Yarrowia lipolytica: one gene and its partner. The main gene of each other region encodes a partner of the protein of the gene in region 2 in a complex. Links are inferred from orthologs where the notes say so. Each region holds a gene or a part of one and is shown on either strand. Other genes may lie near its edges. The genes, in order: YALI1_B25593g and YALI1_E05709g.

Region 1 (3,675 bases), on a different chromosome or scaffold from region 2:
ATCGCATATGGGACCTTGCAGATCATTTGTTTTTGCCAACTTGCACACTTTTGTGTTCACTTGCGGGAGTCATTTTAGATCACGTGACGTTGACTGTTTTCTATTTTATTCTAATGATTCATTACAACTATATACCTAACAAGCCGGGTTATTGGCGTTCAATAAATCATTCATTATTTATTTTTATTCTAATGAGTCATTATTATGTAATCCGACGACCCTGACTAAGGAGATCTCTCCCTAACAAAGGCAGAAAAGCTGGCCCGATGGTTTAGTGGTATAATTCTCGCTTAGGGTGTCCTAGGCAATTTGCGAGAGGTCCCGGGTTCAATTCCCGGTTGGGCCCAGTTTCTTTTTGTCCCAGATAATGCTTTTGTTGACAGCAGTATGTTTTTGACCTTACTAAGCCGCATTACTTTGAGGAACTACGAATACTTGTGTATGACTACATCTGGCACGGTCTATGTACAGTAAAGAGTGTCTATACTGTATACACCCTTCATTAAACACAATAATCAATCTATCTTACATATCCTTTTCCTCCTCGCCTATGGGTCTCCACATCATGATCTACATAGGATGTTGTTCTGTAAAAGTACATACATCCTTGTCCATTTTTGGCCAGTAGTTGCCGCAGGTCACTTCCGCTTCCTTACCACTCAGGGTTCTCCTTTCGTCGGAAGCATGCAACAAACTTATCTCCCTCGTTTCGGGCCACCTTCTTGCCCTCCTCGGTCTCGACCAGCATGGTGGCCACACAAGGATCAGCGTCCTCCTCCTCCTTGGTCAGTCGCTCAAATAGAGGGTGAGCGGCCAAATGCTTGACCATCCACTCGTGCAGATCCTTAACGTCGGTGATGGTGTAGACGATTCCTCCAGGTCGCACAACATAGGCGTACTCGGAGCACAGGGTGGTGGTGACGATTCGAGCCTTGTGTTTTCGCTGCTTGAAGTGAGGATCGGGGAAGCAGAAGAAGATCTTGGACAGCTGGCCTTTTTCGAAGAAGTTGGGCAGGAACTTCATAGCGTTGCCTCGCAGAACACTGATGTTCTGATAGCCGTCGGTCTCCTTGTTCTGGTGTCGAAGAGCCACAATTCGGTCCTCCACGTAGTTAGTAACCTGCACTCGGATCTCCATTCCCAGGATCAGCTGGTTGGGCAGCTGGGGGGAGAGAGCAACCAGCAAGCCTCCGAATCCACATCCAATGTCTGCCACCTCGACCTTCTGGCCTTCCTTTCGGTTGGGGTAAAGTACGTCCCAGTCCATGTCGGCGGGCGACTCGGGATACTCCAGCTGATGGTCAGAGAAGGGATTCGAATGAGCTCGCTGTCTGTAGTATCGCTTCTTGGGGAGCTTGATCTCGCCGTCCTCGGGCTGCTCGAAGGATACTCCCTTCTTGGCTGCCAGTCGCTTCTCCTCCTGCTCTTGTCGGTACTTTTGTCGCTTGTGCACAAAGGATTCCTTCTCCTCCTTTCCCATGTTAGCAGTCTCCGCCTCAATGTCCATTTCGCTCTGATCTCGTTTCAACATTGTGTGATTTGGGGTCCAAAAAAAAATTAAGCCTGATTAAAATTCTGCATGAAGGATGTGATAGAGGTGAGGAGGAACGGTAGGAGAATAGGTGAGGGGGTGGTAGAAAAGAATAAAAGACAGCGGCTCCTCTAAAGTTTGCGTCATGGAGCTGATTTCCATCACCCCTTGACTGTTGTTCACTCTTGTCAGATTATGACTTAGTAATCAAATTTTTTTCACTAATGATAACTTAATCGTGGTGAGCCTTCGGATTCCGACAGACGTCGAGTGAGACAGAGCTAATTTGAGAGGCGAGTGGGCGAAGAAGCCAATCATAGCAAAACGGTTTAAAAAAAGGAAGCCGTTGTTGCTTGCAAGATTGATTTCTTTTCCCTGTTAAGCCCGCGGATATTAAATGTTCTTCAAGCCTTATTGTAAGCCTCTTCGAGGTATTTACAGTGGTGGTGTTGTGTTTGTTTGCCTCAAAATGCTTTGGCCTCAACAGGACGACACGTCACGTCACGTAATGTACCGATAATACTTTTACAACAAATTTGGACAGGTCCCAGTACAAGGTGAAACAGATTGAAAGTGTGACGGACAGAATAACCCCACGAAGCTACAGATACACGTGCCCATTCATTCAGGAAATCTGGTTGGTCCGCTAACCCCAAGCATTACTCTACACGATGATTCACGCACGGCATCTCTTCATGCATGTCAGGCCTGTGCCGTCTACTTGTACGGTACTTCGCGATTCATAGAGTCGTGATACGTCCACATTAATGGATTGGGATATAAGGTTGTGTCTCGAGTGATAGAAATGGGAGAACGGGATGGATAGAGAGAGTATCCCACTCATCACACTGGCCTTGTGGTACGTCCATCGTTGTCTATATATACCCAATTAATTGCCCTAAACCCACCTTTCCTTTACTTATCTCTTCCACCTCCCAGACCTCACAATGCTCATGTACAGCACAAGTATTGTAGTCCTTACAGCCACCACAACCCCACTGCAACTTAAACTTCCTCTCGCACTATGCTTCGCCGCTTGAGTAGTGCCGTGCCCCATCGTCTAGGACAAGTACAAAAGCACCTGACCACTTTCAACCGTCTTCTCTCTACCTCATCCTCTACAAATATGTCTCTCAACGACACCAAAGCACCCCACATCCAGCTCGCTATCAAGGATCACTTTGATGCTCTGTCCGACACTGAGAAGAAGTACGCCCACCACTTCTCTCGAGCCTCACATCTCGGAACCAGAGTTGTACTCAGACAGGTTTCGCCCGAGTCCGAGGACATCTACAACCTGATTCTGGCCATCGCTGAGGCTGTCAATCAGGACTACTCCAAGCTCGAGTCGGAGTCAGTGTCCAAGGAAGACGTTCGATCCTTCCTGGAGTACTCGTCCCAGTTCCTGTCCAACCTCGGAAACTTCAAGTCCTTTGGAGATGCCAAGTTTGTTCCTCGACTGGAACGTGCCAAGTTCGCCACCATTGCTGCCACCGCCGACCAGACCGCCAACTTCGACAAGGTGGCCGACGCCATCTACTCCACCGACAAGACCCTGCTGGGCTTCCTGGACAAGGGCCACGTGACCGCGTACTACGGCGGCGACATCACTGAAGACGAAATCACAAAGATCAACGACTTCTGCGCCTCTAAGACCATCTACCCCGAAAACACCCGGGTGTGGAAGACTGGCCCCAAGCAATTTGAGCTGCGAATCGCCTCGGCTGATACCGGCATCGCCCAGGATACCCAGTTCGATCCCTCCTACGAGATTCCCGATGTTGGAACCCTCAAGCTGGCCTACGGAGACTCCAAGAACGAGTTTGCCCAGATCTCCGAGGAGATGGCTGCTGCTGGAAAGAACGCTGCCAATCACGTTCAGGAGCAGATGATCGCCGCCTACGTTGACTCCTTCAAGACTGGCTCCATGGCTGCTCACCGAGAGTCCCAGAAGTTCTGGGTCAAGGACCTGGGTCCGGCTGTTGAGACCAACATTGGTTTCATCGAGACCTACCGAGACCCCGCTGGTGTGCGAGGCGAATGGGAGGGTCTTGTGGCTGTCGTCAACAAGGAGCGAACCAAGAAGTTTGGCGCTCTCGTTGAGGGGGCCAAGGAGTACGTTTCCCAGCTGCCCTGGGACGCCG
Region 2 (3,527 bases):
GTTTGGGACACGCGCACTGCAAAAAAGGCTAAGGAAAAAAGAACGACGTGTGGAGAGAGCCGTAGATGGTGCCCTTGAACTGTAGCCCACGACGATGTGGTGAGTCCACTTGCGCTGAGGGCACGTGTATTTAGGTATTCGTATTCGTTCTGGGGTGGCAAAAGCAAAAAAAAAAACAGTCAACTTGAGCTCCTACACAGCTCAGATATCACGTGGAAGGATGATGATCGGCCTATTTTTCATTTAGCTGGGCAACCTAACCACGAAACGAAACGTGACGTGGGTGTTCTTCTCTCGATACAGTATGCGCTGAAGCCACCTGAGACACTCCCCGAAAAAAAATCCAACCTTGTGAACTTAAACTAAAAATAGAGGAGAAATTAGTTGATGGGGCCAGCCCTCCAAGTGTGTGGTCTGTCACAAGTACACTAGGATACGTCTGTTCAATCAATAAAAATCTATCATGTATTCAATAGTTACTTTTAAACCTCCTCGAGGCATTGTTGTACATATGCTGGCTACTCTTTGCAAGTAACACCTCCCTCCATTGTTAGAACCCCGTCAAGAAACAAACCACTTAGAACTCTCCTCGCTTTCGCAACGACTTGGTGCTGAAGAGAGAAATGAGCTCGGAATCGTCCTCGTACTCGCAAGAGCCAAAGGGAATCTCCTTGTCACTCTTGGTCACGACTCCGTCGGTGATGGTGTATGCCTTGACTCCCTCAGAGCCAACTTCAGAGGTCACCAGGAGGTTGCCAGCCACGCTGAAAGAAATGACATGAGCCTCAGTGGCGAAGACAGAGGCAACCTCCAGCTTGTTGTCGACAATCTTGAGCACAATAATAGCGTTGGTGCTCTCGACGTTGACGAGCAGGTAAGGAGTGTCCTTGATCTGCTGCAGAGAAGACACTGTGATCTCCTTGTGGGTGGTAGCAACGCCCTTCTTGTCGACATAAATGTGGGCCTCGTTAAGGTAGCTCTCGACGTGCTCTCGCAGAGACAGCTTCTGCAGCTGCTTGCCATTGAGCCAGTCCCACACAAAGATCTCGTCATCTCCACCGGCAGAGAAGAGAATGGAGGCATCGAGATCGTTGATCAACAGGCTGGAGACAAACTGCTGGTGGCCAAAGCAGAACTGCTCAATGACGTGGGAAGCGGGGAACCGACTGATTCGAATGTGCTCGTCTCGGTCGGCAGAAATGACGTAAGGTCGATCCTTGGAGTCGTAGCCCAGCTCCAGAGCTGTGAGCATGGAGACATGGCCCAGCACAGGCTCGTCTTTGAGTTCTCCCTCCACCTTGAGCAGATCCTCCACAGACTCTCCGTACACGTCTCCGAACTTGTCGCCAAGAACAATGTTCAGATCCTCCTTGTCAGTAGCGACAGCGCTGGGTCTCTTGGGGTATTGCACCTTCTTGATCACTTCAAGGGTTGTGGGATCAAGCAGAACAAGAGACTTGGTCTCGTCTGTGGTGGCCAGCAGATACTTTCCGCCCTTGGAAAGTTGCAGAGATCTGACATGAGACACAGACGTAGGCAGGTACTTGGTTCGTTTGGCAGCAGCAGGCTTATCTCCGGTTTTGGTGGTTGTTCGAGTGGCAGACTCCTCAACGACAGTGGACTTGCACTCGCCGGTCTCGAGGCAGATTCGATCCACCTGTCGCGCAGCAGCGGCGTACATGGTCTTTCCGTCAGGAGAAAGAGACACGATGTGATAAGGATGCTTCATTGGGCGACTTTGAACACTCGTTAGGGCCTCAGTTGTGTGAATAAATCATTCCGATTAAGATTCAGATAAATTTTGGCATCCTGCATGAATTACGTAATCCGACTTGGGATTGGAAATAGCACCACATTAGTGAGCCACAGGTGTTAGGACGACGGAAAAATGGTACAAGGGCTGGTTCTAATGAGCAAGATGAGTAATTGTCAGGATCAAAAATCACCCCTTTTGGTCACGTGGCAACTCTAATTGTTATCATCTCTATCTGACTTTTAGTGCGGCGCAAAAAATTGCCGAGAGAAAAATCTTGTATGGAAGATGTGTCCAGGACTGGATGTAAAAATTGTTCGTGCGAGTACAAAGAGATCGTTGCCGGATCATTATTCTAACTTAAGTGCTTTCTCTATCAAAAATATCAGAAAGGCTCTGTTATCCTCTCACAAGGTGGACATGGCGGGTTGACCTGCCTGGAACATGCCTCATGGATATACAGTTGAGTTTTCATGCAACTTCACTGCACTCTTTTCTGGACCTAAATTATTTTCTATATCCCCATTCTGAGACTCCTGACGGTTCCTTGCACGCAGAAATCATGACGGTCAAGCAACTAGAACACGCCAGTATTAAGAGTGAGTATTTGCGTTGGAGGGGGTTCGTGGGCGCAATACCGAAGTGCCTCAAGATGAGGCCTACAGATCAGACCTGACTCAGAGTGAAGTACCACGGCTGAATGAGTGTCAGAAACCACCGTAGGCTCTCTGGTTGCGCATCTGATCAATACTAACACAGACTCTTGGTTCACTGAAGTTTCCGACTCTTTTCCAGGCCAGGGCCTGATGCTGAAGGTCGAGGAAATTTTGCATGTTTCGCAGAGCGAGTTCCAGGATGTTCTTGTGTTTCGATCCACGGAGTACGGAAATGTGCTGGTTCTGGATGGAGTGGTACAGGTGTCTGAGCGAGATGAGTTTGCGTACCAGGAGATGATTTGCCATGTAGCCATGATGTCGCATGAGTGTCCCAAGAGAGTGCTGGTTATTGGAGGCGGAGATGGTGGAGTTCTCAGAGAAATCGTTAAGCATGAGTCTGTGGAGGCTGCACATTTGTGTGAGATTGACGAGAGCGTCATCGAGCTCTCCAAGAAGTATCTCCCCAACATGGCCGTAGGTTTCGATAACACCAAGGTCACAGTTCATATCAGAGACGGTTTCGAGTTCATCCGAGAAGTTGCCCGGAGTGATGAGAAGTACGACGTCATCATCACTGACTCTTCGGACCCCGATGGCCCTGCTGAAAAGTTCTTCCAGCGCGAGTATTTTCAGCTTTTGCACACCGCCCTCAATGATGACGGTATTGTTATCACCCAGTCTTCGGAGAACGTCTGGCTCAACTTCAAGTTTGTCAAGCAACTCCGTGACATCTGCAAGGGTGTTTTCGCATCTGTGGAATACTGCGCTGCTCTGTTGCCCACTTACACCTCTGGCCAGCTGGGTCTGATGGTCTGCAGTAAGAAGCCGACCAATCTCAAGATCCCCAAGCGACAGTGGACTCAAGAGGAAGAGTCCAGTCTGGTCAGATACTATAACAAGGAAATCCACGAGGCATCATTTGTGCTGCCCAACTGGGCAAAGCATTTTTTGGAGGGAACCTCTCTGTAGGTTCCATGTAAATAGTTCGATGAATCAGTAATTTAATGAAGTGCATACAATGAGAACCACAATGATACACACAACACTTGTAAAAAAAAATGTTACAATACAATATGAGCCTGATACTTCTCAAGGGTCACCTACGCCAGATGCAGTGT

What was found.
Region 1: the proteins of YALI1_E05709g (region 2) and YALI1_B25593g are in contact, whole or in part, in a crystal structure (PDB 2VDU), measured with the Saccharomyces cerevisiae proteins. The link is inferred for Yarrowia lipolytica from reciprocal best matches to the Saccharomyces cerevisiae genes TRM82 and TRM8. Residues at the interface, in NP_010449.1 of Saccharomyces cerevisiae: Asp172, Glu189, Leu192, Gly193, His194, Val195, Ser196, Asp208, His210, Asp219, Glu220, His221, Lys223, His226, Gln229, Cys230, Phe231, Ile232, Val233, Asp234, Lys235, Trp236, Phe238, Gly239, Lys241; in NP_010080.1 of Saccharomyces cerevisiae: Tyr69, Val71, Ser72, Pro73, Met163, Lys164, Phe165, Pro167, Asn168, Lys172, Asn199, Thr200, Leu201, Ser203, Glu204, Tyr207, His235, Pro236, Leu237, Thr282, Pro283, Ile285, Leu286.

What each region holds. Positions count from the first base shown.
Region 1 is NC_090771.1:2,557,755-2,561,429, forward strand, and holds YALI1_B25593g (uncharacterized protein), read right to left. Parts: upstream 1,532-3,675; coding exon 653-1,531; downstream 1-652. Other genes in the region: YALI1_B25603g (uncharacterized protein), read left to right, coding at 2,556-3,675. UniProt on the Saccharomyces cerevisiae protein: Methyltransferase that catalyzes the formation of N(7)-methylguanine at position 46 (m7G46) in tRNA, a modification required to maintain stability of tRNAs; its absence resulting in tRNA decay.
Region 2 is NC_090774.1:569,170-572,696, reverse strand, and holds YALI1_E05709g (uncharacterized protein), read right to left. Parts: upstream 1,730-3,527; coding exon 578-1,729; downstream 1-577. Other genes in the region: YALI1_E05701g (uncharacterized protein), read left to right, coding at 2,316-2,352, 2,513-3,378. UniProt on the Saccharomyces cerevisiae protein: Required for the formation of N(7)-methylguanine at position 46 (m7G46) in tRNA, a modification required to maintain stability of tRNAs; its absence resulting in tRNA decay.